Linked DNA regions of Solanum lycopersicum. The protein of the gene in region 3 interacts with the protein of the main gene of each other region in a pairwise test. Links are inferred from orthologs where the notes say so. Each region holds a gene or a part of one and is shown on either strand. Other genes may lie near its edges.

Region 1 (7,947 bases), on a different chromosome or scaffold from region 3:
CTTATGAAATACAAATTTAAATTAATCAATTTTTTTTAAAAAATATATACTAATATTGTACCAAAACCATAATACAAAGATGGTAGGGCAAGTAAACGGAATATATTTATTAGGGAGGAAAGTAGAAGGGAATTTCTTTAAATAAATAGTTGGAGTATTAGCTAGCTAAGGTTTTCTTTTTATTTTTTCGGGTTTGGTTTTAAAATTTACGGTAAAGTTCTGATTAAGTTTAGATTATATAATATCTACTTGTGAGACGTTTCTAACAAGATTCTCTTCATAATCACAATTCAAATTTAAAATTTCTAATTATATTACAAATGAAACAATTCTATCACTACGACCCGACCCAGGATAGCTAGCTAAGGTTGTTTGAAAGAAAGATGGCATAAGAGATGGAGTTGGGTAAAGGTGAGGCTGGCGCACATGCAATTGAGCCTTTTCATTTCTTGTTTTTTTTCTTTTTTTGGGCCCTCTATTTATTCTCTATGCTTCAATAAAGCTTAGCACATGTTTTCTCCTTTGTCTTAAGACTTTCTTTAGAAAAATAAATTTTAAAATCCTAATTTGCCAGATATGTTTGTTTTTGGATGTTTTAGCCACAAGGGGTGGTAGGGGTGTGAAAATTTTAAAATAAAATTAGAATTAAAAAAAAGTGTGATTTAGAGTATCAATTTGAGAAGATGTATGTTGACTTTGGAATAGTAGTTAAAACTTTGGAGGAGTAATATCTTTAATACCTAATATCTTTGTCACTAAATTTTTTTTATTTTTCATTTACTATCTGATATGTATATTATCGTCTGAATTTGAGCTCTCATTTTGAAAAAAATATTTTCGATTAAATTTTTTTACATGAATCAAGATTTCTAATTAATTATCAAGAAAATAAATAACTAATCTAAGAAAAAGTTTCATTATGTCAACAATCCTTCCTCAACTAAATGGAGTTGACCTTAGATGCATCCACAAGAGAGTAGTACCAAGTATCATATATACAAATATTTTTTGGTGACATACAATTAGTATTGCTCTTTCTTAGATTTCATCATAAGACAAATTAATTAAGTACTAATTAAATACACCTTTTGCATGCACCAAACCCCATGACTTGTTGTTTACCTTAAATTGGATGTGAAAAAATTAAACCACGTGAATGTTCAAGTATTCTCTTATATAATAAGAGACACTTAGTGGTCAGAAACATCGACATTGATGTGCCTGCTTTAACGTCTTTTTGAAAAAAATAATATTAATATTTTTTTAAAAATTAATTAACGTATAATTTTTTTGAATTTATGAACTCTTTTTTAGCTAAGACTTTTATAATTCACATGCTTGTTTCAACGTATTTCGAAAAAAAATTGAACTTTTGTTTAACTTTAATTTAATTTGTGTATAATTATTTCAAAATTATAGAATTTTTTTCAGCTCTGACTTTTAGTTCTTCGTCGACGTGTCTGCTTCAACATGTTTTTGAAAATTAAAAATTTACTTCTTTTGTTATACATAATTTAATTTAGTGTATAATTTTTTCGAAATTATGAAATCCTTTATAATTATAACTTTTCAAATCGATGTTCCTCTTTCAGTGTGTTTCGAAAAAAAATCAAATAAATTATTTCTTTTGTTCTACTTTAATTTAATTAATGTGTAATTTTTCTCAAAATTATGAAATCCTTTTTAGCTGTGACTTTTAGTTTAAGTTCAAGATTTTACGCTGAAACACGCACGTCTTCGTCAACGTGCCTATTCAGCGTGTTTTAGAATTTCTTTTTAAAAAATAACTTTTTATTTATACTATAATTTAATTAGTTTATAATTTTTTTCGAAATTATGAAATCTGTTTAGCTATGATTTTTAGTTTTAAATTCTTATTCTTTAATTACTGCTTATTATTTTGAATGTCGGTAATATTTGTTATATCTTGTAACTATTTTGAGTAAAAAAAAATCACGATTGATGACAAAAAATACTTGTTATAGATATTTTAATGAACCTCTTCGCAATAAATTTGCTCAAACTAAAAATAATTAACCACTTGTATACTTAAAAATCATATTAAATTTATTTAACTATCTAAATAAAACATATATTTCATAAATAAAAATAAAATAATACTAAGATATTAGACCTGGCACCAATATCTAATATATATATATACACACACACATCATACTTAGACATTTACATTAAGCAATTTTATGAACGTTTTTTATTTGTCTCAGCAAAACTAAGATGCATGATTATGAGTTTATGACATGTATATAGAGTTAATAATGTGAAGATATATATCAAATATTAATTTTTTATATATTATATTTGAACTGAAATTGCAAGGTATATTTTGAAGATAGTAAACTATAAAATCAATTTCTAGCTTTGTGTTTAAGATATTCAAAATTTATAACACATAGAGAAAGAAAGTAAATTTAGCTAAGGGATAAAATCAAATATGAAGTATTTGCATAGTATATATATATTAATTAAGGGAAAAGATTCAAATATACAATCAAATTTTTAAATTTTTTTTTATATTATCCGTCAAAAATTTAGTTAATAAGGTTATTTTGTTAAAGAAAAGGCTTATTCATATCGTCCATGTCATTCTTTTAACTCCGATTTTATAAAACTATTTTTTACATTCTGAATAAGGTTTAACATTTTTCAACTGGAGTTTTTGAATCAAATGTACATCTTTTGCTTCTTTTTCATTGAAAACACATAAAATATATCGATAACTCTCAAATTTTCAACATCTTTAATTCTTTACGTAATCATCACAACTATCAACTATATGTGTTATCGTTCATTAAATTAGTGGACATAAGTTATGACCTAATTAATTCTTTAAGTTAATATATATTTGTTTATTTATCATTAGATTCGAGAATAATAAACAGAGCACAAGAATTAAGTCAGATAATTTAGGGAACATCTAGCTATAAAAGATAAAAGTTCCTTGGCTCTTTTCTTATCTTTTTGTTACTTTTTGCCTTTTTTTTTTCTTTTTAATTATTTTACCCTTTAATTAATTACTTTTTGTTTACTCATAAAAAAAAAGTTGTCATTGTTGTCTCCTTTAAAGTCTCATCATACTGTTTATCTCATAATTTTCAATTAATTATTACCAAAAAAAAAAGGAAAAAAACAACAATAAGTGGAGCCTAACAAACAAAAAGCAAACTCAAAAATAGTTGCCAACTTGCTTAATCCATTATTCCAACAACAAAACAATTTTATTTTATTTTTTAAAAATTAAAAAAATAAAAACCCTAATCAAAAACTATAACACGTCACTCATGACATAAACGATCCGACAACCCGAGCCCAACCCGTTTAATCATTCACTTCCACGTGGCAAAATCCTTGCCGTTTAATAAACACCTCAATTATCCAACACACTCTTCACATATTATTTCATATATAGCATGCTTTCTCATGCTTATTATACCCTTCTTCTTACACTTTCATATTCACATTAAAAATCTTTAAAAAAAAAGAAAGTATTTTTATCGTAATTCAGAAGAATTTTCACGTAAAATTTTTAATTCTCAAGAGAAGTATGACAAGCGTGTTGGGTGCGGAGTGTGACAAAATCCGATTGGATTATGAAGCGGAGACGGAGCTGAGGCTCGGATTGCCCGGAGCTAATGGGAATGAACTGGAATCGAGTAATAAGAACAATGGCAAAAGGGTCTTTTCAGAAACTGTTGATTTGAAATTAAACCTTTCTAATTCAAAGGATTCCACATTAATGGATAATATTAATATTAATCAAGTTGATAACATGAAGGAGAAGAAGAATAATATTGTTGTGCCAAGCTCTAATGATCCTGCTAAGCCACCAGCCAAGTAAGTTAATTACTTTTGTGTTATTCTTTAATCATGTTGATTAATGGTTCCAAGTAATTAATATTTGTTGTGGTAGTAATATCTTTATGGTGATGAAGTTTAAGTTTCTTGAGTATGCTTAGAACCAATAGTTAGACGGAGCTAGAAGCCTATATAAATTTGTCTCAATTTAATATAGTTTTCGTTAAAATAATAGATTTTAGTTAGAAATGCATTGAATATATATATAAATATTAGTATGTTTAGGTTCTATTAGTTAATAGTTGAAATAGTTATTTCAACACTCATAAAATTGAAATCTTGATTTTTTATGTAGTTCTTATATATTTATTGAACTCTTACAATATATATTGCAACATAAAAGGATTCATTTTCCTTTTTTTTTTTTTAAGTTTAATTGTCTCTTTTTATATATTTTTTGTTCTCATGCCAATTTTATTACTCCTTTTTTTTTTGTTGTAAATTACTTAATTTGCATTGTAGATCATGCTAATTGAATATATATCCTACTAATCTACGTTAGAGATCAAATATTGAATTAAGAAAGAATTTTGGGTATGCTACAATAATTTTTTTTTAATTAATAGTATAATGAAGGCGGAGCTAGACTTTTGAGTTAGAAAGATTTTTATAATTTTGTTCGAATTTTATTTTATATTTGTATTAAAATTTATGATATATATATAGGAAAAAATATTGTACTGTAACGTTGTTTCGTATAAGAGTATAATTGCTTTAAAAGAAATAATTCTTTTTTAAAAAAAATTATTTAAAATGGAAAAAAAAAAAATCTAAATGTTAGGTGTCAGTAGTGGTAACCTATCTTTTTGAGAATTTTGGAATTTAGGATATGGCTGTGGTTGTGTCTAGATGATGGCAGAAAAAACAAAACATTTGGAATCTTTTACTTTCATCACCCAACATTTTTAGTGGAAAACACATGGAACTTTTTATTTATTACTATAAACCTTTTTCAAAATGTAAATTAATTATTTTTATAAAAACAAATCTAGAGGTACTTTACAGAGTATTTCTTTGTTACCTTTTGGTGAGACAACGCATGTGTGCGCTTAAAAAGATAATTATAATTTCATAAATGCTACTCCTAGCTAAATACTTTATTATAAAAATTCTTACTTTATTAAGTTTTTTGAATTTTGGACTTTTACTTTTAAGATATTATTTATTTTATGAATTTTCAGTGCTAAATCATCATCATGAGTAAATAAATATGGGGATTTTTAATAATAATTAATTAAGTGCATGGGACTAATTAATTTTTTAATTATTTGCTTAACTTAGGGCACAAGTTGTGGGTTGGCCACCAGTGAGATCATTCAGGAAGAATGTAATGACTGTTCAGAAAAACACCACCGGCGCCGGCGAAATCTCCGGCACCGGCACCGGCGCAGCCTTTGTGAAAGTTAGTGTTGACGGTGCACCATACTTACGTAAAGTGGACTTGAAGATGTACAAAAGTTACCAACAACTCTCTGATGCACTTGGCAAAATGTTTAGCTCTTTTACTATTGGTAAATATTGATTCTTTCGTTTTAATTTATTTATTATATTATATTGTGAAGTTTTAACAAAATTTAATTTATTTGTCATATTATATTGTGAAGTTTTTAAAAAATAATATAGTAAATGAATATTATTATTATTGGGCATTTCATATCTTTGGTAGTGGGAAGGTTTTTGTCCATTAAAATTATGGAAGTGTATTATTTTTCTTTTCATTTTGTCTTGATGTGACAATTATTATTCCTTGAAATTTGTGTAGGAAATTGTGGGACTCAAGGATTTAAGGATTTCATGAATGAGAGCAAATTGATAGACCTCTTGAATGGTTCAGACTATGTACCAACTTATGAAGACAAAGATGGTGATTGGATGCTTGTTGGTGATGTACCTTGGGAGTAAGTTTCTAAATATGATAGTGATAAAATATTATATCTTTTATTTAGTTATATAAATTGAATGATTAATTTTATTTTCTTAATTTTATTATAGGATGTTTGTTGATTCATGCAAACGTTTACGGATAATGAAAGGATCAGAAGCTATTGGGCTAGGTAAATTAATACATTTTTTCTATTTTTTATCTCGTTACGTAAATATTAACTTTTTTCCTTAATTTTCTTTTTCAAATTATGTCACTAACATAAATATAATTAAACTTTATGCAGCACCAAGAGCAGTGGAGAAATGCAAGAACAGGAGTTAAACTTGATGTTCCAATTAATTGTTCATTGTTTTTTTTTTCCATGGTCAAATTATATATTGACCTTGGAGTTTCTAAATGTATTGTAATTTGAAGGGTTTATATATATAATATAAGGGGGAAAAAATTAAGAAAATGTTTATCCATGAGAAGAAAAAAAAAATATATATATATATATATAGATCTAAATAGTTGTCAAGTGTGTGACAGCCTCATATTGGTTGGAGCCCAATTTTGGGAATCTTTAGAATTTATATTATATTGTAAGTGTGGCCCTATGTGTAAGTGACACTTGAAATTATCTAATAAATTGAAGACAAGTAACATGGACATATTTAAAGTTATTGGGAGGCAAGGCCATGTGCTTTGCTAATGGGGACAAACTTATAGGGATCACAATTATTTCAATCACTAGTGTTTGTTGGGCATCAATTATTTATTTTGTGAGTGGCCAATTGGCCATACCCCATTATTTCAATTTGATACATTTTAGAGGTCTCATATGTCACTTCTTGTTATTTAGATGAATGCTCAAAATACATATTAAAAGAAATATAGAGATGAAAATGTGAAGGGTAGTTGCAATATTTTTCATTGGCTATGTTCACATTAATTCGAATCTATATTAAATTCATGAAATATATGTCAGATCTCGATCAATAACAACTATTTAATTATTATTTGTGATGATAACTTTGAGAGAAGGAGAGATAGTAATTGATGATGGCTTTTGAGGTGCAATGTATCAATACAGTGGAGTTATTATTATTGAGATATTTTAATTGATACCCTTTCATTTGAAAAATTAGGTTATACAAATAAGTAAACAAATATATACTTGTTGAATTTTTTAATATTTCTTTGTGAAAATATTATTACTTAGTTTTTGACATCTACAAAAGAGAAATTTCATTTCAGATAACCATATTTCTAGTAGACAACGTTTACCATGAGCTACAAGAGAAGTTAAGTTAGCAATTTTAAATATATCAAAAAGTAGCTAATTTAGGCTATGTTTTAAATAGAACCACTGAGTGGCTACCTTTTATAAGACTGTCTTAGAATTTCTGAAGCCCATTAATAGAAAAACTTTTTTAAAAGGCCCTGTCTAAGTAAGTTCATTGACCCATTGGGCTTGAGCAATGTGGTAAATCCATAGGATTTATTGATTAACAACTTGCCTTTTTTGATTAACAAATGCAAGTAAATTAGGTCTAATCACATTTCTTTTCTTTTTCCAATAAAATCCAACAATGTAAACAAGGAAGTAGTAATTTTATACAATAATAATTAAATTAAAGTTGTTTGCTTATATCTGGATCTTAAAATTTTGAGCATGACTATTTTGCCAACTCTCTTCAAAATCTGTGTCTCCAAAAAGAATGGTGATTTGAACATCTTATGTAACGCTTACCTTTGTTTATTACACAATAACTTAGTCTCTATTAATATTTTATGTTTATTGATGATAACAACACAATAAAATACAATGCAATGCAATATAATGTATTGTCCATAATACGTTAAGTTGATACACCAAAACAACTATGAAAATACTTATCTAATTTTAGTAAATTGGACACCCTTATTCAAACAACACACAACACTGTAACATATACACTTAATAATACACTCTTAAAATATAAAGAACACATATAGGTGTTTGCTTTTATTTAGCACTTAACAAAATCTAGGGATCGTTTGGTTGGAAGCGAGTTATTTACGATTAGTTATTCTGAGATAATGCATCTTATCATTTTGATATAAATGATGGGATAAATTTTTTCGAACATGATAACTAGGCAAGAATATATATTAGCTATCACTATTTATTTTTATTTATCACACCAAACCAAACGACCGACGAG
Region 2 (7,357 bases), on a different chromosome or scaffold from region 3:
GGATTCATAATTTTCATTAAGAGAGTTTTTAAAATATGAAATGATATTATAGAAATTGAAATTTTGTAAGATCTCTACCAGACGTGTTTAATTTGAGTTGAGACTCTACAAGGTGTGTTCAATATTAGAAATAGTTCATGCCTGTATTAATGGATATTATATTCTCTTGAAAAAACTAATATTTTGCAAATTCATGGAATATTTATAAATTCAAATCATCTTAATTCGAGAAATATGTTACTACCGGCCCTCGAATTGTGAAGATAAGTCCAAATCATCTAATTCGGAAAAATACACCACTAATGACCCTCGAATCATGGATAAATCTTAAGAGAGAAGGATCAAGGGATCAACATATTTCACTACAAGAAAATGGTGAATTACATGGAGATTTTCCTAGAAATTAGTATGAAAATATGCTGGAAAACAAGTTTCTTGAAATTTTCATATAACCTCAAGAAAAATCGCCATGTAATTTACACTTATTTTGTTGTGTTTGTACTCAAAGTTTTAATAATAAAATTATGTTTCTTTATATTTTATTTGTGATTGTAATCTATTTTTTTGTCACTTTAAAAATTATTTCAAACAAATACACACAAATAAGCTACATCTTCAATAGTAATTTTCATATGAACTTCTAAGCCCTACTTAGCTTTGCCTCTAATGCTACATTAGTTGAGTCACAAACTCACAATTAAGGACGAGTTCAATTTAATTATCTTTTTCGTTTTAAGAGGGTATTGCTCAAATAGGACAATACTATTCAAGTATTTTTGTTAAAAATTATTTTTTAATTATTTTTGGTATTTTAATAAATTGAAGAGATAATAACACAACTACACTCTCAATTATTTTTAATTCTCTCTCATCGTAATTTTTAAAAGATAATATAATTAAAAAAATTTAAATGATATAACAAATCAATAAATACAATATTCGAAAAAGTGTAATGCATAAATTATTATAACTAATAATAAGAATAAACTAAAAACTAACTATGAATTATTCATTAAATTTTATAAAATAGACAAATATTATTAAAAATTTAAAATAATATAATAAACAATTATTATTAGACCAGATTAAACGCAGGAAGTATTTTTATGGACCAATGAAGTTGGTGAAGGAGAATATAATTGAAAAACGTAAAAGAAAATTAAAGGTAAAGTATTGAAATGATTTGATGCTGAAAAAGTAAACATGAAAACAATTGATGTATACGTTTTGCGTAGATATAAAATGTGTAATAAGTGAATTGTCTGGTGGTCATTTGTCAATTAATAAATAATAATATCTGAGAAGGTATATGTACTCTCAAAATCCGACATATTCCACGCTTCTCATTTATTTGAACATATTATAGATCGAATCTCATGGTAAAAAAAAATTATTGTATTTACTTACCAACTATCTGTAATAACTTCAGAGAGATAAATTTCACGAAGGGTGTTTAAGTGTTAAAAGTGAACATACTTTTAAAAAAGTAAAAAGAGAAGTTGTTAACAGTAAAATTTAAATACATGGGTATTTTAAGTACGCGACTCAATACACTATGCTGCATTATATTGTTATTTTAAGGATATTCAAAATAAAATATTTAGCCACTTTATTTATTACTTTACTTATATATACAATATAATTTTTGAAGAAGGGCGTCCAACAGAATGGCTATGCAACTGGAGCCACATATTTTTTAGGAGGAAAAATTAATTATATCTAGATAAAAACATTAAGTATAATCCTTAAATGCTATATTATTTTACTTTTTTATATATATATGTTACTATATTTACGTGTAGATTTTTAACACATAAAAATGTAATGAATTTAATAATAATGTGATATTGGATTATTTAAAAGATGTTATTCCCGAACATCAACGAAAACAATGCCTTTTGTCGGACGTAGCTCTACATGCTGATTATGGGCCAATATTTCAGTTTAGTTAGTTGATATATTAATATAAAAATAAATTATGTATCGGTTGAAGATTCTGTATCTACCAAATTAATACACTCTTTGGACTTTATAAAATATAGTGTTCCTATTTATTTTTGGAGCTCAATTAATTCAGATTCATATAGGTAAAATATCTTTTATTATATAATTTATATAAAAATGATTTCAGTTTCATAACTCAAATTTGAAATGTTTCTCTAAAAATAAATGAATATCTACCTTTTACGTGATTCATAGGTGATCTCTATGGTTAATTCTTATGAAGTTTTTTTTAGAATAATTACATATTCGCAACACATGATTTGATTGATAATTAATTTTTTTTTTTTGGATATTAATTTCGGTGGAAGTAAGAATTAGTCCGTGTGCATGTATTTCCACACTGAATACTGTGATATGTAGTGAAACAAAAGTATATTCATATGGTATATCACTGCTTTATTATCCCCCCAATAAAAATAAAAATTAAGGTTCATCAGTATTTAATGATCCAAGAAAAAAATACATTGGACTTATAAGTGTGTTGGAGTGATACAGGAATCTTTCCATTTTTACATAAGTATGCATGAATATGTATAGCTAATTAGTGTATGCTAATTGTCTACTCGATATTATATTGTTCACCTTAATCGAGTTATAGATATTTGATAAATCCAACTTCAACATGGTGAACAGATAAGGAAAAAACTAGCTAGAAAAAATAAATTTTTTTAAAAAAGATAAGGAAAATAGAAATACAAATAATGTAAAAAAAGAACTTTTTAGTAACGTGGACAATTGATATGAAATTGAAACAAAGGGAAAGTTAGATGGTAGCCACAATTTCAGCACAACATGTTGGTTACACATATAGCCTTATTATACATACGAAAATTGTCATTTAAGAGCAAATAAGGTACTGATTACTACAATAATTAAGCTAATTAAGAGGAAATCAAATCAGAAATTGATTTTAAGTCTAGGGTGTCTTATCACACCTAAGATTACAATTACAATTATATATTAATGTAAAAATATAGCTTGAATCATCCACTCTATTTCTCTTGAGACATTCCCTTGAGAAAGTCTCTTGCTCCAAGCCCTATCACTTTTGCCTCTGATCTCTTCATGATCCTTAGCCTTTTGCATGATTCACTGAACATTCTGCTAAATCAAATTCCAATTAATACGACTTCTTTTGATTTTTTCTAACACTACAAAATGTTTGATGAGTAACCGATCAAGGTTGTTATAGTGTGGTAGGTAGTAATTTATTCTTAACCAAGAGGTTTCAGATTTTAGTTGTCTTGGGTATAAAGCTGCCTTTGTTAGGAAGTTTTAACCTTCCTGGCACGAATCCCTATTTAATCGGGTTTCAATGTTCTAATTTATCGGCATAATGATGTTTTGATCTATGCCTTAAAAAGGACAAAATTGATCCATCAGTGAATATATGCTAGTTTAAATCACCTAAATTTGACTAAATTGGTCAATTTATGTACTATAAGCTAAATTTTACACCCCTTTTAACACATTAATTAGTTTAGTTTTACAATTAATTAAAGAAGATTCAATTAGGGATAAGGTGCCCGAGGGGCAGATCGCGTTAAAAAATTACTAATATATAAAATTTGAACTTTTTTTAACATAAGATTAGAGGTCGACTGAATTTAAAATTCAGTCGACAATTTCAAAATTCAAATCTCAAGTATTATATTAAATATGTTCCTAAATTAATAAAAATTCTGAATCTGTCGTCTCGAATAGAACATAAAGAGAAAGTGAAATACTTACATCCATGGAACATCGCCGACAAGCATCCAATCTCCATCTTTGTCTTCATAGATTGGAACGAACTCTGACTTATCTGCATCCTCCAATGCTTCTCCTGTTGACACATTTAAATACAAATTTAACATATATAACACTAGCAATTAAATTGCTTATATTTATGAAAAAGATGCTCGATTTATGTTTATTAGTATAGTACAGTAACCGTACATTTCAATAATAATAATTTCACTTTGCCTAAATAAATGCATGTTAATATAGAAAACTGAAATACTAACCAATTCCATAGCAATCAAAGAGTTTTTCAAGAGCCATAACAAGTTGATCATAACCCTTATGAGTACTCAAATCAACTTTCCTCAAAAACGGTGCTCCATCCATGCTAACTTTGACGTACATTTTATTATTGGATTCAGCTTCACGTCCGTTAAAACTGTTCTTTTTCCGGTAAGCACACACAGGAGGCCAACCAACAACTTCGTTCTTGTATTGACACTTGTAATTATTAGCCTCAACGTTGTTGTTGTTGTTGCTGCTGCTGCTGTTTCGATCACTAGTAGTAATTTCCGAATAAACCCTTTTCTTTTCATTTTTCTCCAATATTCCTCCTGGAAGTCCCAATCTTAGCTCAGTAATTTCCAATTCTGTTGCCATTTCGTATTATGTTTTGAAGACTGGAAAATTAATATATTGTTGTTTTGATGGAAAAAATGAGTGTGTGTGTTTATGAGTATATATAGGAAATAAATAATTGAGAAGACAATGGCAGGTAAACTAAACTTAATGGTCGGTCACATGAGATACAAAGGTAGGGAAAATATATATGTTAGGTATGTAATTTAAAACATTAATAATTTGTGGAGATTTACTTGTGACCGTTTGATATGGTTAACAAAAGACATGCCATGTGATGAAGTGTTCCCAATATGTTTGTAGACACATTAATATACGCGTGCAAATAAAGGTACATATATACATGTAATTATTTCGAGTTGGGATAAAATTTTTGCAAGTACGGATAAGGTATGTGTATATATTAATCTCTTCAGATTTTATATACGGGTTTATATTGGGTAACTTATGGATTGGCCGAATCAAGTTTGGTTTAAAAGCTATTTACGTGATTGACAATAGAATCTTGTTTAATAAGTGGAACGCAATAACTGTCCGCTATCAGGTTGGACAGTCAGGGTAGGAGAAGGGCAATGACTCATTCTTATAACCAGCGTTTTTAAGAACAAGAAGTCGGGCGGAAGGGGGAAAAGCCCTACGTTCCTGGTTCTCTTTATAGTTGAATCCAAGTCTCTTGCCACCTAAAACTCTGGCAAGAAAGCACTGCTTTACCTTTGATCCTATGTACCTTCTCTCTCATTAATTTTAAGAAATTTATTCGTACAAATTATAAATTTTGAAGTCAATAACTTGAAAAAAAACTAGAATTTCATATTCATAAGTACTTTAAATTATGATTTCGTCTCTAGCTAAACAAATCTTTTAATTGGACAAGAGCCTATTTGGGACTAAAATCAAACAGGAGGGCATAATTATTCTATTTCACTAGTTAAGGGGCAAATGTGACCTTTTGTCAAAACTAATACAGTTAAATTTAAGTTAAATTAAGTGTTATGTTTATTTCAAAAATTTTACATATATAGTCATGTATTTGAATTAGGATTGACAATTTCGAAACCAATGAATACACATATTTCTCTTGAAAAAAAATGATAGTTTACGAAAAAGAATACCATAATTTATTTATTTTTTTGTCTCCGTTATAATTTTCTAATACACGGACAATTAATTTTTTGAGGAACATATCCAATTATAATAGGGTATATGGATATTTGATTCTTGCAGAGAAGGCAAATTTCTGCGAGATAATATTATTATTTACACATATAATAAGTAGCATGTTATTAAAGGAATATAATTTCTCCAATTATAGACAATCAGTTTATACTACATTATAACAAGAAGATACCACGATGAGAATATTTTGCAATATTGGGACATAGAAATCTTACTTTGAATCCCTTAGATTAGAAATTAATACATAAATATAACTATTGTCTAGTCAATTATTTACAAATTATAGTTGGTCTTCTATCAAATATATAAATTCAACATTTTAATTAAGTAGACATTCTCTTGCATGTGCACGTATCTTATAATAATTGATACGACCGATTATTATTCAACTACAATATCATGTAATATTAACTAACAAATTTTACTTAATTCACATTGTTTGCAACAAATTTTAAACATATAGATAAATCACACAAATAAAATCAAAAGAAACATAATTTTATTAATCTAGATAGATTGCGGGTACAATTGTGTTAATCCCTTGATTCTACTCTCTTAAGATTTATTCATGATTCGAGGACCATTAGTAACATATTTCTCGAACTATGATGATTTAAATTATGACCTCTTTTTATGAACAAACTATCAATTTGTGGAGTATTCGAAATCTTGATCTCTTTATGAAATTTTCGAGATGTCTTCTAAGGGAATTTAGTACACTTTATATAGGAATAAACTAGGGTTTAGAGTTGAGTAGCCTCTAAGAATAGCAACAACGTAATGGAGTCAGTCACTCAATATAGATTGATCCGAAATCTGATTCAAATCCAATATAGTACCTATGGGTACATAAGAAATGTATTGAATCGATTCTTTTTAATGAATAGATCCGATCGCAACTTCGAATATGGAATTCAAAGGGATCAAATAGGAAAGGATACTCTGAATCATAGAACTATAATGAAATATACGATCAACCAATATTTATCGAATTTGAAAAAGAGTCAGAAGAAATGGTTCGAGCCTCTTATTTTGATTTCTCGAACCGAGAGATCCATGAATCGGGATCTTGAGTTGAACACAATTTATAGAGTCCTAACTCGAATTAAACGCATCTCACAAAATTTTAATGTCTACACACAATCATTTTTGACAATTACCAATATACTCTGATTCATCTATAAATCATTTTTATCGATAAGGAAGAAATTATTATGTATGGATCGATGAACAAAACAATAAGACTTAGTTGCATTGTCCTTAGGATAATATATGTTACTCTCCAACCGAGCATATGTTTCCTTAGAATTAGACAAGGAAATGAAACTACAAAGATGACACCCCACACGTGATAAAGAGGTTTGTCCCCAATTTATTACTACTTTAGACAAACGTACCCACTAATCTATCTTATGTGCCCTTGTTACACTCATAAATAAAACTATTTCCCCACTCAAATGAAACATAAAATAGCAAAAACACAGCCTTAACTAGACTCATATTGGGTAATATACAGCTAGCTACCTACCTCTCTCTTTCCAATTTCATCTCACACTTTATTTTGAGTAATATATAGTCTATTATTATATTGTCATATGAAATTAATAAGGTCCATGGGTGCAATGGTTATTCGTACAAGTATGGGGTTAATTACCGTGGACGTTTTACTTAGGATAGTTGAAGCGTGTAAAAAATCTTAAGAGAGCTTAAAAAATTACTTTATTGATCTATTTTTAATTTGTTTGACTTGATTCAAAATATAGATGGTCAAACTAACTTATGTTTAATGTGTAGTCTGACATACATTAATCTTTAT
Region 3 (8,164 bases):
GTTAACACTTTAAAAATGAACAAAAATAATACAAGAAAAATTATAATATGAAACATTATTTTTATAGCTCGTTTGGTCATGCGATATGGTATCATAATATGAAATTATGAGATGAAACTAAAGTTTTGTTTGGACATGTGATATGAAATTTTGGTGTTGTATATTTTCTCATAAACATAGGAATTTCATAAGTTGTATAACTATTAAAATAACTCCAATTGATTATTCAATCTTATCACATGAACAAATAATTACAAAATCACATAAAAATATTGTATTGCTATTTGGTTTCCACTTAAGTAATTGTTCTATCTAACTTTAATTTATCAAACTTAATTCAATAAAAAAAATTGAAGATAAATTGCAGCATGCTAGTGTTAAAGTATTACTCAACAATCAGTTGATGTGAGTTAAAAGGACTACATATTGGTGAAAATAATAAATACTATATCAATTAGAATAATAAATTTTAAAAAGTAATTATGTCACTATAAAATTTATTTACATATAAAATAAATGGTTAACAGATATAAATATGGGGTGTGTTTTAACAAAATATAAACTTGTGAATACATTTTCGTATTAAAAAAAATCTCAAATCATAATATGAAATTTCTATATCATGGTTTTTGAGGAATATGGAATCAACATCTAATGAGACGAAATCAGCATAAAATTACACATTCAAACACTAATATATTATATTCCCTCTATTTCAATTTATGTAATACTTTTCGTTTTTTGAGAATCAAACAATTTAAGTTTGATCGAGAATTTGCACATGAAATCTTCAATTTTTTTGGATGAAATATATATATTTATACACTATGTAAAAAATATTATAAATTACAATAATTAAGAATTTAAAATATTTAAAAAATATAACAAATTTAGTATCAAAATTTTACTCAATTAAATCATAAAATCCAAAAAAAATACATCATACATGGCCAAATATTTACTTAGTGCGAAGAGAAAGATAGTCAGTCCTCTTGGGCGGCCGAGAGTGTTATGTAAAAAGGACCAAGTTGATGATCAATTAATATGAAACGAGGGAGGGCGGAATATAGATAGCCTCGGGAAATCACGAAAGGCTATTTGCTTGGCGTGTGCGGAAATCAGATGTGTGACGGTTGATGATGCCTACTTTTCATACTTGCAGTGGTCCTGCATGTACAATAGATATCTACTTTTGGATACGTGATCTTCTTGTCCAATTGTGTGTAGCCACGTGTTCTATTTTGCAAGAAAAGACATTGTTGGTATATATGTGAGGAGACAGCTACTACTATTTACGAATCTTGGGTTCTAAACTGGAAAATACAAAAGCTTTTGTCATAGGACTAGTATTAATAATTATTTTCTTTGTCACGATATTTATTAGATTAAAATAATTTTATCTTATCTTTAAAAAATTTAACTTTTAATATTATGACTTATATTTTTTTATGTAATTTATAAATATATAAATTTTATTTTTAAAAAAAATTAAAAAAATTTATATATAAATTTTCATTCAAATTTAAGTTGTTTGATTCTCGAAAAAAAGGAAAAATGTCACAACAATTGAGATAAATAGAGTACTCCATCTGTTCCAATTCATATAATACCTTTTCTGTTTTGAGAGTCAAACAACTTAACTTTGATAGAAAATTTGTGTATGAAATTTTTGATTTTTTAAAAAAATGAAATTTATGTATTTGTAAATTACGTAGAAAGTACTACGAATCACCGGAATTGATTACTCAAAATGTTTATAAAATATTTGGAAAATTTACGGTAAAAAATAAACTTGTTTAACTCTTGAAATTCGAAAGGAGACATATAAAATGGGACGGAGGTAGTAACATAAGTTACAAAAATTAAAAATTTAATGTGCAAATTTTCGATCAAATCGAAATTGTTTCTCTTCAAAAAAATGAAAAGTTTCATATAAATTGAGACAGAGAGAGTAACATCAATATCAACAAGTATAGAGAATATATATATAGAGAGAGAGAGAGAGAAATCTTTTGGCTAGAAAATTTGATTATTTGGTCAAATTAGTAAAATAACATATTTTTTACTATGATATTTTTATCTTTTTGAATATTTTCATTCTTTTTAACTCTAATACCATAAATTTAAAAATAAAAAAGTATCAGATTATTTTACAGTAAATAACAACATTTTACACTTTTGAAATTTCTAGTCAAATTCTGGTTATATAGCATTATCTATCTATTTATCTATATATATATATATATATATACAAAAATATGCAAATACGTTAATGATTAAAACTATTTACTCACATGCTAAAAATAATTTATGATAAAAATATATTATGTACATATAATTTTTGGACAAATGATATTCATTTGACCATTTGGAGTAACATAGTTGTATCAATAAAGTTTTCAAAAGATTAAAAAATGAAGAGAAAGTACTACACTTAGGTATTTGATTAGCTAACTCTGTTTTGGAAAGCGACTAGTCATTATAATTGAGGAATCAAATGATTTTCTGCTGCTATTTTTCACATTACATTGAATTGGTAAGTAAGAAAATGCAGGACATCGTGTTTTCTTTATCAAATTAACTCCCTACACACATAGCCTGCGACTATAAAGCCTATCAATCAATTGAAACAAGGGAATGGAGTTGTTTGGCCTTGCTGAAAACTATGGTTATTAATCTGTCTTAGGAGTACGATTGTACTTTTCTTCCTTAATCAGAAGTTTTAAATATATTTTTTTTAATAGGAAGCATTATCTTGAATAAGGCTTTATTCTAACGAGATTGTTGTCTATAAATTTTCTAAATGTTGCCCAACTTATTGATTTTATTATAAAACTCATTAGTTTTAAAAAGTGATGTGTCAAAACAAAATGTCAATGAACATTCAATCTTTTCCTCTGAACTTCAAAAGGAGTTCTACTTTTTTCTTTATTGAATATTACATTTCTTATGTCCCAATTTTAAAATTTATCATAGTTGCTTCAATAATTGATAAACTTTACGATAGATCTAAAGATTAATGTTATATTAAATTTTTTAAAAAAAATATATCTAAAACCTTATACATACACTCTGGTCTTATCGTGCCACTTTTTATCTATGGAGAGTCAACTTAAATAACTTTAAAATTAAATTAGACTAAATAACTTTGGTATATTCTAAAATCATAAGTTGGTACAGTAGTTATTTCGGACCAGAAGTGGGGTAAGCAGCAATCGTGTTTTCAAAAATACTTTAGAAAACATAAAGAAAAGTAAAAAGGAGAGCACAAATGGATACTGAAATGGAACAGTGTTCGATTAAAGTGTAACGTATATACTCTCTCTGGAACTGAGCTAGTTGAAGAGCATGCCTACAATTGTGCTTCACGTGTGCCAGAAAGTTGGCTTCACCTGACACTATCACTATATAAAACCACTCCATCAAATTGAACTTAATTTAATTCGATAAAAATATTTTTGAATTTTATGATTTTAATTAAAAATTTGTGAAAGACCTATGGATTTTAAATTGATACAACGGAAGTAACAATTGTACTATTAACCCTGTCGATTTCTTTGATTTGGTTTTAGCAGTTTACCAACTTCCCTAATTCATCAGTTCTCAGAACCAAAAGTAGACCAGTCAAAGTCTAATCAACTTGCTAGTTTACCCCTACTCTGTTAATTCAATTGGTTTATTCACTTTAATGCGAATCCGCCCACTCTGCTCTATATGGTATGGTTGGCTAATAAATACACACTCGTTCGGAGCATATACCCAAAAAATGTCACCTACTCCTACATGTAAAACAGTGTGAACGTAGACAAAATTAACTTGATCTGCTCAACACTGAACTTGATTTTGCTGGACTATAATGGCCAACAACAATGTTTATTATCACAATGCTAATTTTTCTTTGACTGATCCTGATCCTGAACCAGATGATATTTCTGTGTTTCTTCGTCATATTCTACTTCCTTCTTCGTCTTCGTCTTCATCTTCATCTAATTTTATGGCCCTGAAGAGTAATGAAATGCAATATTCCTCATCATTACCTCATCTTATGCCTAATAATAATCAACAGGGTAATTTGTCATCCATGATGAATTCATCAGCTTGCGGCATTTTCTCGTCTTCCTATGGGGTTTGTAATGGTGCAACTACTGTTTCTTCCTCATCTGTTGGGACCATAGATTACGATCCGGATGAGTATGAATGTGAAAGTGAGGTATTTCTACATTTTCTACTTAATTCGTTTTGATTAATTAGTGTATTTAAGTTTTTATTTCCGAATTTGACTTTTTTACTTAATCCTGGTATATATATATATATATATTTTGTGATGATTTTTTTAATATGTAGGATGGTACAGAGGATTTGGGGGCGGAAGCTTCAGTTCAACCGCCATCTCGTAACACTTCCAAGAGAAGCAGAGCAGCTGAAGTGCACAATTTGTCTGAAAAGGTTTGTTTATTTTTTTGTTAATTAAGTTCATTATTGTCTGAATCGATGATTCCACGGGTTTAAATCTTGAATATGATTTACAGAGGAGAAGAAGCAGGATTAATGAGAAGATGAAAGCATTGCAAAAACTTATTCCAAATTCAAATAAGGTGAGGAGTTGCATGTCTAGCAATTTTGAATCGAGTCTTGAAATAAGTAAATAACATAAACTTTTAGCAATATAAAGCTTAAAAGATTTTTGATTTTATTATTTTCTGATGGATTTCTGGACAGACTGACAAGGCTTCAATGCTTGATGAAGCCATTGAGTATCTTAAGCAGCTTCAGCTCCAAGTACAGGTTTGCTGCTTCTGTTTAAATTTGCTGCATGTAATTTGTTTGGTATGATGGGGAGATAAAGATATTTTTTTAGAGGATAATATAATGTAATATTGTGTTGATTGGCCCAACTTTAGTGAAATTTAAAGTTCAGATAGTTGCAAAGAACATGTAGTGTTATTTGACTCAATTCAGTATATTTCCTAGATTGGTTCTAGCTGGTTATCTGTTCATTTAACACTAGTTGATTCGATCAAGTTATATGATTTATAGCATAAGAATGTACTTTGATCTGTAGATGTTGACAATGAGAAACGGGTTAAACATGTATCCTCTTGGCCTGCCACGAATGCTACAACAAAATCAACTCTCCCATCAAAAAGTAGGTTTGTGCGAGGGGAATGCATTCACAAATGCCAAAGTGGCTGGGAATCTACAAGTTAACCAAGACGCCTCGTTAAATGCTATTTTCAACCCAACTGAAAATTGTACAGAAACTAAGGTAACACCACCGATAACTATGTCAAATATAAACCGGTCAGACAGTGCGTTTGAGCTTGAGTCATCGATGAATATTCACCTTGATCCCTTTCAGCTCTCAAGATCTACCAGCAAGGTATGTTGGATACAAAACCTATTGGAATGCCATTTTTTATGAGGATGCAGAATTGCAGATTAAGGAATCAATTTATTTAACCATTTGACATTCACATTCTGTTTTGCGAAGGAAATTTGGAGGGAGGATGACTTACCTTTATATGGTATGAATGAGCTAACGACCAAAACTGCATCAACTGGTAGATTATTTGCTTGATATCCTTGCCTAGTTGACAACTTTTGCCTTGTATCCAGGTCTCTTTACCATTTTATATTTCATTGTATTATAGGATCAAATCTGGCATTCTCAGTTCCCCTAGATACGGATGCATCTAACCTGAAGAGAAGCACTCGGGAGGCCTGCTTGCTTCGATATCAGTTTGGTGCTGTGAATGAAACCAATCTGGATTGTGACCAACTTCTTTCCCAACAACTGTATAGGTAAGTGAACTCACATTATACCCGTGCTCTTACATAGCAATGATTTTTTTTAGTCCTTGTTCTATTGTTAGTCACTTTGGAAGTACTTATGTTGACATTATCTTAAGGTGAATGCAGCAACTTCTGAATTTTGGCCTGCATCGCCTTGCTGGATTTTGTTGAAGTAATGAGACATGCATTTTGCTGCTTAGGACGTTTAATGTTGTTAACTTTTGGGCTCACTAGCCACTGTAATGAATGAATGGAATATAAATGAAAAGATTGGACTAGTTTCTATCTTGTTATGAAATACGAAAATTACTACTAGGCATAGGATATGTTTCGTGATTACTATTATCTCATATGTGTCCAACTAATCTGAAGATGGTATGGTTGCTAGCAGAGACACTAAAGATTAGCATTATATGGATTCTAACAGGTACCTTAAATTAATTGGATCATTGCTATGATAATTTACTTCACAGTTGCTAACGTTTCTTTCATTCAATAATTTCATTTATGCCATGTAGGAGAAATGTTTACCTGATAAAACCATTATTCAAGCTATCTTGTTCAATTGTTTGAAAATTTTTCACTCGATGAATATGCGGATGTATTCACCTTAAATAATTTCACGTTGTTTGTCTTTTTTAATTGGCGTGTAAATAATGAACACTGAAACCTAAGTAAATGCCAAACATCGCCAGATTATCTAGATAACCTTTGGCCATAAATTGCGGATATTTTCAAGTTTTGTTTGATACTCACTCAAAACTTCAGAAAAATTCCAAGTACGTGTTAATTAAAAAAAGTTGAAGAACCAAAATTCTATTCTTATTCCGTAAAGAATGGACTGCGATTGGAAGAAAACTGTTGTCGATTGACTTGAAAGAGGAAGAAAAATTCTAGTCTAATCACTTAGTTTGAATCACAAAGAATAGGAAATATACTTTGAACGTGCCAATTGGGAAGGTCTCGAGACAATTTATACTTAATTTAAACTCTCTTAATAGAACTCTACCAAAAAAAAAAATTATTTATAGAAAACATATCATGTACAAACACTAGCTAAGCAAGTAATAATAAAAGTAGCAAATGCGTTAAACCATTTGACTTCCTTTCCATCGATTACTATTAACCATACGAATTTAAATTTTAATTTTGTCTCATTTCATTTCCCTATTATTTTTCGACGCATGGAAAGGCCTTGTTGGCTTAATGTTGACACTAGCCAAGGGAATAGACAAAAAGAAACTTAAGTAGTGGCCTTGATGTATTCCAACTTTGTAATTGGAAGAATAATGCCCACAAGTCCCCCTATTTCCTTTTTTGTGATGAATGAAAAAAAAAATAGGACATTTATTGGTCTACATTATGCAAAAGAAATTTATGATATTAGGGGACAAGAAAAGTAACAATGAAATTTCTATATATGGTGTAGCAGATTTGTATGACTAAATTATAATCTTTATAATAAAAATAATAATGAATCATTTTAATTTCAAATTAATTAAAATACTACAAATATATATATATATAGATTTTCTTTCAATAATATTATATTTTTTTCAAGTAGGTACATTTCAAATACTAACAAAGTAAAATAAAAGAGAGAATTTTCATAATTAATTTTAAATTAATTGATCACCTAAATTCAAAGTTAAATTGTGGAGAAAAATAAAGTGGAGGGAGGACCAAGTTGTTGTGTGGACTAGACTAGACAAGACAAGACAGTCCAATTCTTTGACAAAAGTGTTGAATACTTTGGAGTCCAAAGTAACCCAAACATCAATCCAAGCCGCCAGGCGTTAAGTGGAGTGCGCCTTTTCAGTATTCTCTAAAGTTAAAAAGAAGCAATGAATGAAGCTTTATTAAGTCCGATCTAATCCTTGGCGCTCTATATATTCTTAACAACTTCGTTTGTAACGGTCTCAACATATTCTCTCTGTTCTGTAAAACCGAATTGCTGCTAACCCTAGGATTTATGGCTGAAACTATACCTAATGGCGGGCCTGAGAGTGCCAATATTGATGGACCGACCAATCCTATGGTTACGCCTATTTTAACAGATCTCTATCAGTTTACTATGGCCTATGCTTACTGGAAAGCTGGAAAACACAATGAACGAGCTGTGTAAGTATTCAATTTCCATTTTTATTCCTCTTCATTTTCACTCTAGTTAGTTTCATTTGATGTTCTGATCATGATGTTTACTTCAAGCGGATTAATTTGATTGTTTGCTCAGGTTTGACTTGTATTTTCGGAGGAATCCGTTTGGTGGTGAATATACAATATTTGCTGGTTTAGAAGAGTGCATAAAGTTTATTGCTAATTTTAAATTTACTGAGGATGAGATAGCTTTCATCAGGTCATCGTTGCCATC
Region 4 (7,176 bases), on a different chromosome or scaffold from region 3:
TAATATCTTATTCTATCCATTTTTAATGCTTCAAAAGAAATAAATTAATTTATTTAAAAAAAAAAAAAAAAGTCCCCCACCCACCCCCACTCCCTAGCCATCAGTGACACTTATGTTAAAAATCATCAAAAAAAATAATTAGTTTAAAAACTAGATAGGTTTTAAGAGTTATCTTGAATAAAACACACATGTTTATTTTCTGTTTGTTCCTTCCCTTTCATATTTTACTTGTACCATATCTACTGCATAACTACAACTGTCATCTTGATGATAAGCCAAATATATCTTCTAGCTTCTTCTAGTTTTGCCACTTCAAATTTTGGTAGAAGCTATAAAGAATTTATTTATTAAAGTTTGTGTGTTTAAATTGTGATAGTATAGGTTGATATTACTTGATTAGAACTTCCATAAATAGTTTGAAATGAGAGTTTGATCGCTATTTAGGTTAATTCTTCTTCTTTTTTTTTTTTTTTTATATAAGTAATTTTTATACGCTTAAATAAACATTTTGAATTCTGACCTTATAAATGAAAGATCTCTATTGACAAAGAGCCTTTCTCCTCACCTGACTCTATGCGATGAAAATCTAAATTAATCAACTAATATATAAAGAACAAATATTTCCTTTCGATGATATTTTTACAACTTTTTCTTGAACACTATGTTTTGAAAAATATAATTGCACAACATAAAAAATTACGTATAAATGAAAACGATTATAATTGTCAACCTGAAGATGCTGAATGCAAATTTTAAAACAATAATTTCGTAAGACGTACAAAATATTCAACGGGAATCTAGGGTTAATTAAATTAGTCATATATAGCTGCTTTCCATTAATTTGTTGCGTTGAATTAATATCCATGCAGTGTATAACATGCATAAGAAGTTCCTATTTAATTTTATTTGGTATAAAGATAAATCCATTTTAAATGCTTTTGAGTATTTAATTCAGTAGAGTATATACATGTAATTTGTTGGTTGAGTGATAACTAAATAGGTGCATGTTCTTTATATTTTTCAGGACCGATTAAATTCATAATCTAAGAAATGTTATTAATACATTATTTTTAGCATCTCGAGTTTGAATATGTGATTTCTGATTAAATATGAAAGTGACATGTCCTTTACTGTATTAGCACTTGTCGTTTGGGATAAGGTCTTTTCCTTAGAATTATTTTTTAAAAACACATATAATTTGTATCTGCCCGTTAAAGTCGCCATCAACCTCACTATCTTAAAATCTCTAGCTGCGTTCTTTTTTCTTAATTTTTTTTTGGGGGGATTATTTCATATTGAGAATTTAACTTACATTTATTAACTGTGGAGTGAATTATTTAGTAATCTTCAATAATAATTGTCTTCTATTGATTTGATATATTTTTTAAGAAATAATAAATAATACGGGTATTACTGTATTATCCTTTAATTTTATTAAATTTAATGCTTTAAAATATTTTTTAACTTTCTAAATTAGAAAAGTATTGTTAGATAACTATTTTTTAGTATATTGAACAATTATTATTAGACAGAGAGAGTATGACTAAACAATTTGACATGTTGATATATACGACTAAACTTTTAGACATTTCTAGAACATACACTTGGACCATTAATAAATTGACATATTGCGATCAAAATAACAAGCTTACATGAGAATGAACAATTACGAATCTTGATAACAATAAATTAGAGGACAAAGAAAATTATACCATGATCTATTTATGTTGCCTACTTGTTAGAAACTAATATAAAAAACATAAAATTTATTGAAATAATACTCTTTTCAAAATAAAACTCTTGAAACGACTATATTATGAACATAAAATGTTATTATGGTGTAGGTAGTTATTAACTTGAAAGAGTAAATATTTAAGTTTGTGAGGTAGAAAAGTGGAATTAACCGTGGGTAATTTATTAGTAGAGGTGTTAAATGTTAATGGCAGAAGAAATTAATTGAAGAAGCAGTTCACCACAGGTAAGTTCGTTAGCATAAAAACAGCACATGAAACAGTACTCCACTGCACAAGCTGATCCACCTCGAAATGCGTTCCAACCCCCGTACCCCCACCCTAACAAAGACTCAAAAACTTAAGTTGCAGTCTTATCATAATACCAGTAATAACCCCAATAGTAATAATACAACCACCTCTCTACCTCTTCCAAAACTTATTTTCACGTCATATATCAAAGACGGATTCAGAATTTCAATTTTAATTTCGATATACACATAACATAACTTATACATAATATTATAACTGTTAAAAAATAACAAACATATCGATGGTTAATGAGACGAGTGAAGTCTTTATAATATTTAGACAATCCTCCTTCCTTTGAGCTAGTTTTTGAGATATGACTCGTATGAATTAAACCTAAAACATAATTTAACATGATAACAAATAAAGTTTGTCGCCGACTTCACTAGCCGGCGGTGAGTTGACTTATTTCATTGAGGATTGGGGGGGGGGGGGGGGGCGGGGGGTGAGACCTCTGACTTGTGTCATGTGTATGTGGGGTATTAGCTAAGGTCTTCTTTATAACAAAGTGAAAATTTAAGCCAAAGTTAGAGTGATACATTTATTTACTTTTATTTAAATAATAATATCAGTATAGTATATAGTTTCATGCACCTGCATCAAAAACATTTATGATATCACTGCTACAGTTGGTAGATCTAAACCCTCCAAATGGTGGGCCTACCTACCTAGCCCACTCATCTTTACCTTCTCACAATATAAATACAATAAAAAATAATAATATCTTTTAAATTAGTCAAACAAATTAAATATGCACCTAGAAAGGTTAATTATTTTCAAGCTAATATATTACTAGTAACATAGAAGAACAAGCAACACGAACATTATCGAGAAAATATGATGAGAAATTTAGAGTTCGAGTCATATGAATAAAGTCGAATAGAATCTGAAGTAAAGTTTTGAGTTTATAAATTACTAAGAATGATATATAAGAATGTTTCAAAAGGTCAAAGTTAATGGATGTAATATCATAAAAAAATAAATTTTAATAATAACTATAAAATTGAAGCTAAAATTATAACATATATGCAACATGTAGATAGGGTAGTAGTACCGGCTTGCTTATTGTTAATGAAATACTTGGTTAATAATAATTAACTTCTTAAATGAAATATTATATTGGGCAATGTATACTAATAAACTAATATATATATATATATATATATATATATATATATATATATATATATAAATTCTGAATATAAAATAATTATAAATAAAAAGTTTGGAACCTTAAACGATGCGCTAGCGCACAATGGTAAACAAAGAAAAATGAGTAATGATTGTAAACAAAATTATGAATTTGTTGAAAACAGAGCTAAGCTGTAAACCTGCATAAGAATATTATTTTTTTGTATATATTTATATAAATAAAAACATTGAAAAGGAAAGGAAAAAAGTTTACCAACTTTGATGACATAATAAAAGTTGGTAATGGTATTATATTTATATTCTTACTGAATTATTTATCTGCGATAGCAGAAATATATATTATATATAAAAGAAAATATCAAATATATGTATATAATAAAATAAAAAACAATTTGTTATATATAGCCTTAAATTCCCACTTGAGCCTAGATGATCTGTTTCCAATATCACACTATTTTATTCCCCTTTCAATTTCTTCACTTCTCCCCCAACTCTATTAGCTATTATATCAAAAAACATACTACCAATAGTAGTACTACCATTTTCACTGCAATATTCTGATAAAACTCTCACTTCACTCTTTCTTCTTTCTCATTCCTCTGCTTCAATAACCCATAATTATTACTCACTTTTTTTAAAAGAGAGTGATTTGGACTTGCAAAAAAAAAAAAAAAAGTACTAGCCATGGATATTGATATGCTTAAATCATCAGCAACTTCTGAAGATCAAATGGAAATGATGCTCATGATGCAATTGGAGAAATTTCCTGAGTTTTCTACTGGTCAGTAACGTTGAATTGTGTGACTATCTCATCTAAAATATACATAATAAATATTAAACAAACACTTGTTGAGGCTTGTCAAAAATATAATTGTTATTTCACCTGATATAAAAAATTACATCTACAATATTTTGATAACTGATTAATTATATTATGTCACGACAGGTAATTGTTCTGAATTACCAATGATGGAGTTTAGTCCACAAGGAAGTTGCAACAGCAGCAACAACAGCTACAATTTCCAACAAATGGATCAAAATTCACCTAATTTTCTCAACATGCCTTCTACTATTTCATTCACAAACTCACCTCCAATTCATCAAAATTCACCTAATTTTATACCTAATTCGGGTGGATTTACTTCGATGAATCGAAGCAATATGGCAGCAATGAGGGAGATGATATTCAGAATTGCAGCAATGCAGCCGATTAACATCGATCCTGAATCAGTGAAACCACCAAAGAGAAGGAACGTTAAGATATCAACGGATCCACAGAGCGTTGCGGCGCGACACAGGAGAGAAAGGATAAGTGAAAGGATAAGAATATTACAGAGATTAGTACCAGGAGGAACAAAAATGGATACTGCATCAATGTTAGATGAAGCAATACATTATGTGAAATTTTTGAAAAATCAGGTGCAATCACTGGAAAGGGCAGGTGCAACTAGGCCAGCTAATGGTACTGCTCTTACTGCTGCAGCTGCAGGATTAGGATTCCCTGTACCAATGTCTTTGAGTGGGAACTATAATTTGCCTGTCAGTACAAAAAATTATCATCATCAAAATATTCAACAATATGCAGATGTTTAATTAACCAGTAGTATAAATTGAAGAAATTTGTGGGGTTGTAAATTAGAAACCATGCATGGGTAGAAGAATAATTTATACTATATATTATAACCATGGTATATAGAGACCCCTATTGATCTGTTAATAAAATTTTATGTTTCATGTACACACTCTTTTTCTATGTATAATTATTATCTAACCATCTATCATGAACGGTTATGGTGAGCTGGTAAGTATCTCTCACTCATTATTAGATATTTTTTGTATTTGAGTGTCTAAAATATAGTCATTTTTTAAAGAAAGGGATTTTACTGTTAAAACAGGATTGTATGACAATAATTCAGATTAATCAAGCTCTAAACAAGTAATTTTAGAGGAGAATACATGTTTCCTTAATTATTTTTCTTTCGGAATCCAAAAAGTTTTTTAAAAATTGATAATGAGGGGGAGTTAGACTTGAATCCAAATATTTATTTACTCATTTTAAATTGTAAGTGATTCTCATTTAAAATTTCTACAGTTACAAAAACATATTTTTATTTACTTAATTATATTTTTGACGCTCTTACTCCCTCTTATTAAGATGTATATAAAGAATTAAACTGAAATTATCTTTGTGGGTTGACAATGACAATAGCCATGTGCCAATTATCTTTGCAACATCTCAACGAAAAATCTTGAGAACTAGATATGTTATAAGATTTTGTTTTCTTTGTTATTTCTTGTCTATTTATTCTTGAAGCAATGATAAAATTATGGCCGTGTAATCTATAACTTATGAACTTGAATCGGAAAAAGTAATTACTAATGATTTATATTAAAATAGTCTATTTACATCATAATTATATTGCTATATAAATACAAAATACTTTATACGCTGAACCGTTCGACGTAGGTCTATGTGCAATTAAAGATGAGAAAATGGACCATTTAGAACTTGGTTGTACATATACACTCAAGGTCAAATAGCAAGTCATGCCTCTTGGAAAGACAACTTGTAGGGCCCTGTTTGAAAATACCCCCAGTTTTATTAGGGGTCTTTTGGTTCCCATTTTGAACATATTGTAGGGGTCGTTTGGTTCCCATATTTAACATTGTAGGAGTCGTTTGGTTCCCATATTTTTGAAAATGCAACAATTGTTGGGACTATTATTTGCCTTGGACCATCATATGTTTACTTTCTTGACGAATACAAAGCTAAAGCAACAGAATTGAAACTATTGGCCATTTTTTTCACAAGTAAACTATGCGAGGATCGTTTGATTATCCACTTTGTAATCATTTTTAATAAAGTAAAAGTTTAAATAGAGCTACTGAAATTCTCTGTATAACACAATTTTCACACTGTTTGTGAAAAAAAAAAGATTTATTCACGTAATATGTAAAGAACATGACGTTATAGACTTGATTCACAATTTTGTAGTTTTCTCTTCTTGCAAATTTCAATGTATATAGTATGGCAAACTCAAAGCTGTAAAATTTACTATATGATAAAAGTCAACTTGATATTTTTCAACCCCGCGTGCCTCTGCCAAAAAAATTGAAAGATAACATATCCTGAATATTTCATTGATAAAGAAATATAATTCACTAATTAATGAATAATAATTTAATTTTTTATAGAAAAACACTTCTGTGATAATGAATGCTAATATATAGTAGCATGTTTTATCATTTACAATAGAAATTGCAAGGTTCAATATCTAACTCTCTTGTAGTCTAACTCAAATATCACTTTTAAGTTAAAAACTAACTAGTAAATACCATATTGTTAATTTTCTCTACACATGAATACATGATATAGTGACGTAGAACTCATATATAAAGAAAGAAGAATCGTTCAAGCCTTATAATGAGGCCCAAGAACTTCCTTTTCATCAAACGCTACTCGTATTATCACGATCTTCTGAGTATATATAGCTTTTCATTGACCTCCTTGCGGTTAAAGTAATGCTTCAAACATGGCCAATTTCATGATGCAACGAGCACAAATAATTGACAAAAATTCTCCATTATATTAGGATAAGACCTAAATAAATAATAAAAATAACCTTCAAACAACTAATTAAACATTTAGATTTCAACTGATAATCACATAATTTAACATATTACTAACAACTTATTTTATCATCGCCACTTCAACGTATCTCTGCATCCTAATTAAAATATTGATTTAATGTATGGTGATATTTTCATCATCAGATAGTAGTATTAGATAAGACAATTAGACTTTTAGCAATTTAAATGAGATGATAGTACGGTTTAATAATATTCAATACTATAGAATATACATAATCTGCTAATAACACACGAAGGGAGAAATATATATTTATATCTAACATGTACTTAACGGATAATATATAATAATCGAAATTTAGACGATTAAGCTCATTATTATTATTTTATAGGATGG

What was found.
Region 1: the proteins of SPT (region 3) and IAA16 interact in binary tests that used the Arabidopsis thaliana proteins (3 or more experiments, as listed by UniProt). The link is inferred for Solanum lycopersicum from reciprocal best matches to the Arabidopsis thaliana genes SPT and IAA16.
Region 2: the proteins of SPT (region 3) and IAA19 interact in binary tests that used the Arabidopsis thaliana proteins (3 or more experiments, as listed by UniProt). The link is inferred for Solanum lycopersicum from reciprocal best matches to the Arabidopsis thaliana genes SPT and IAA19.
Region 4: the proteins of SPT (region 3) and transcription factor HEC2-like interact in binary tests that used the Arabidopsis thaliana proteins (3 or more experiments, as listed by UniProt). The link is inferred for Solanum lycopersicum from reciprocal best matches to the Arabidopsis thaliana genes SPT and HEC2.

The regions. Positions count from the first base shown.
Region 1 is NC_090800.1:84,050,845-84,058,791, forward strand, and holds IAA16 (auxin-responsive protein IAA16), read left to right. Parts: upstream 1-3,450; 5' UTR 3,451-3,565; coding exon 3,566-3,855; intron 3,856-5,157; coding exon 5,158-5,387; intron 5,388-5,638; coding exon 5,639-5,774; intron 5,775-5,868; coding exon 5,869-5,930; intron 5,931-6,044; coding exon 6,045-6,082; 3' UTR 6,083-6,399; downstream 6,400-7,947. UniProt on the Arabidopsis thaliana protein: Aux/IAA proteins are short-lived transcriptional factors that function as repressors of early auxin response genes at low auxin concentrations.
Region 2 is NC_090802.1:65,644,839-65,652,195, reverse strand, and holds IAA19 (IAA19), read right to left. Parts: upstream 4,433-7,357; 5' UTR 4,387-4,432; coding exon 4,011-4,386; intron 3,830-4,010; coding exon 3,736-3,829; intron 3,106-3,735; coding exon 2,997-3,105; 3' UTR 2,814-2,996; downstream 1-2,813. UniProt on the Arabidopsis thaliana protein: Aux/IAA proteins are short-lived transcriptional factors that function as repressors of early auxin response genes at low auxin concentrations.
Region 3 is NC_090801.1:70,521,220-70,529,383, forward strand, and holds SPT (transcription factor SPATULA), read left to right. Parts: upstream 1-3,726; 5' UTR 3,727-3,856; coding exon 3,857-4,210; intron 4,211-4,344; coding exon 4,345-4,446; intron 4,447-4,529; coding exon 4,530-4,595; intron 4,596-4,719; coding exon 4,720-4,785; intron 4,786-5,062; coding exon 5,063-5,380; intron 5,381-5,491; coding exon 5,492-5,561; intron 5,562-5,651; coding exon 5,652-5,802; intron 5,803-5,909; coding exon 5,910-5,913; 3' UTR 5,914-5,919; coding exon of another isoform or gene 5,920-5,929; 3' UTR 5,930-6,242; downstream 6,243-8,164. Other genes in the region: nicotinate phosphoribosyltransferase 2, read left to right, coding at 7,766-7,914, 8,027-8,164. UniProt on the Arabidopsis thaliana protein: Transcription factor that plays a role in floral organogenesis. Promotes the growth of carpel margins and of pollen tract tissues derived from them.
Region 4 is NC_090803.1:65,278,011-65,285,186, forward strand, and holds transcription factor HEC2-like, read left to right. Parts: upstream 1-3,612; 5' UTR 3,613-3,875; coding exon 3,876-3,972; intron 3,973-4,137; coding exon 4,138-4,784; 3' UTR 4,785-4,929; downstream 4,930-7,176.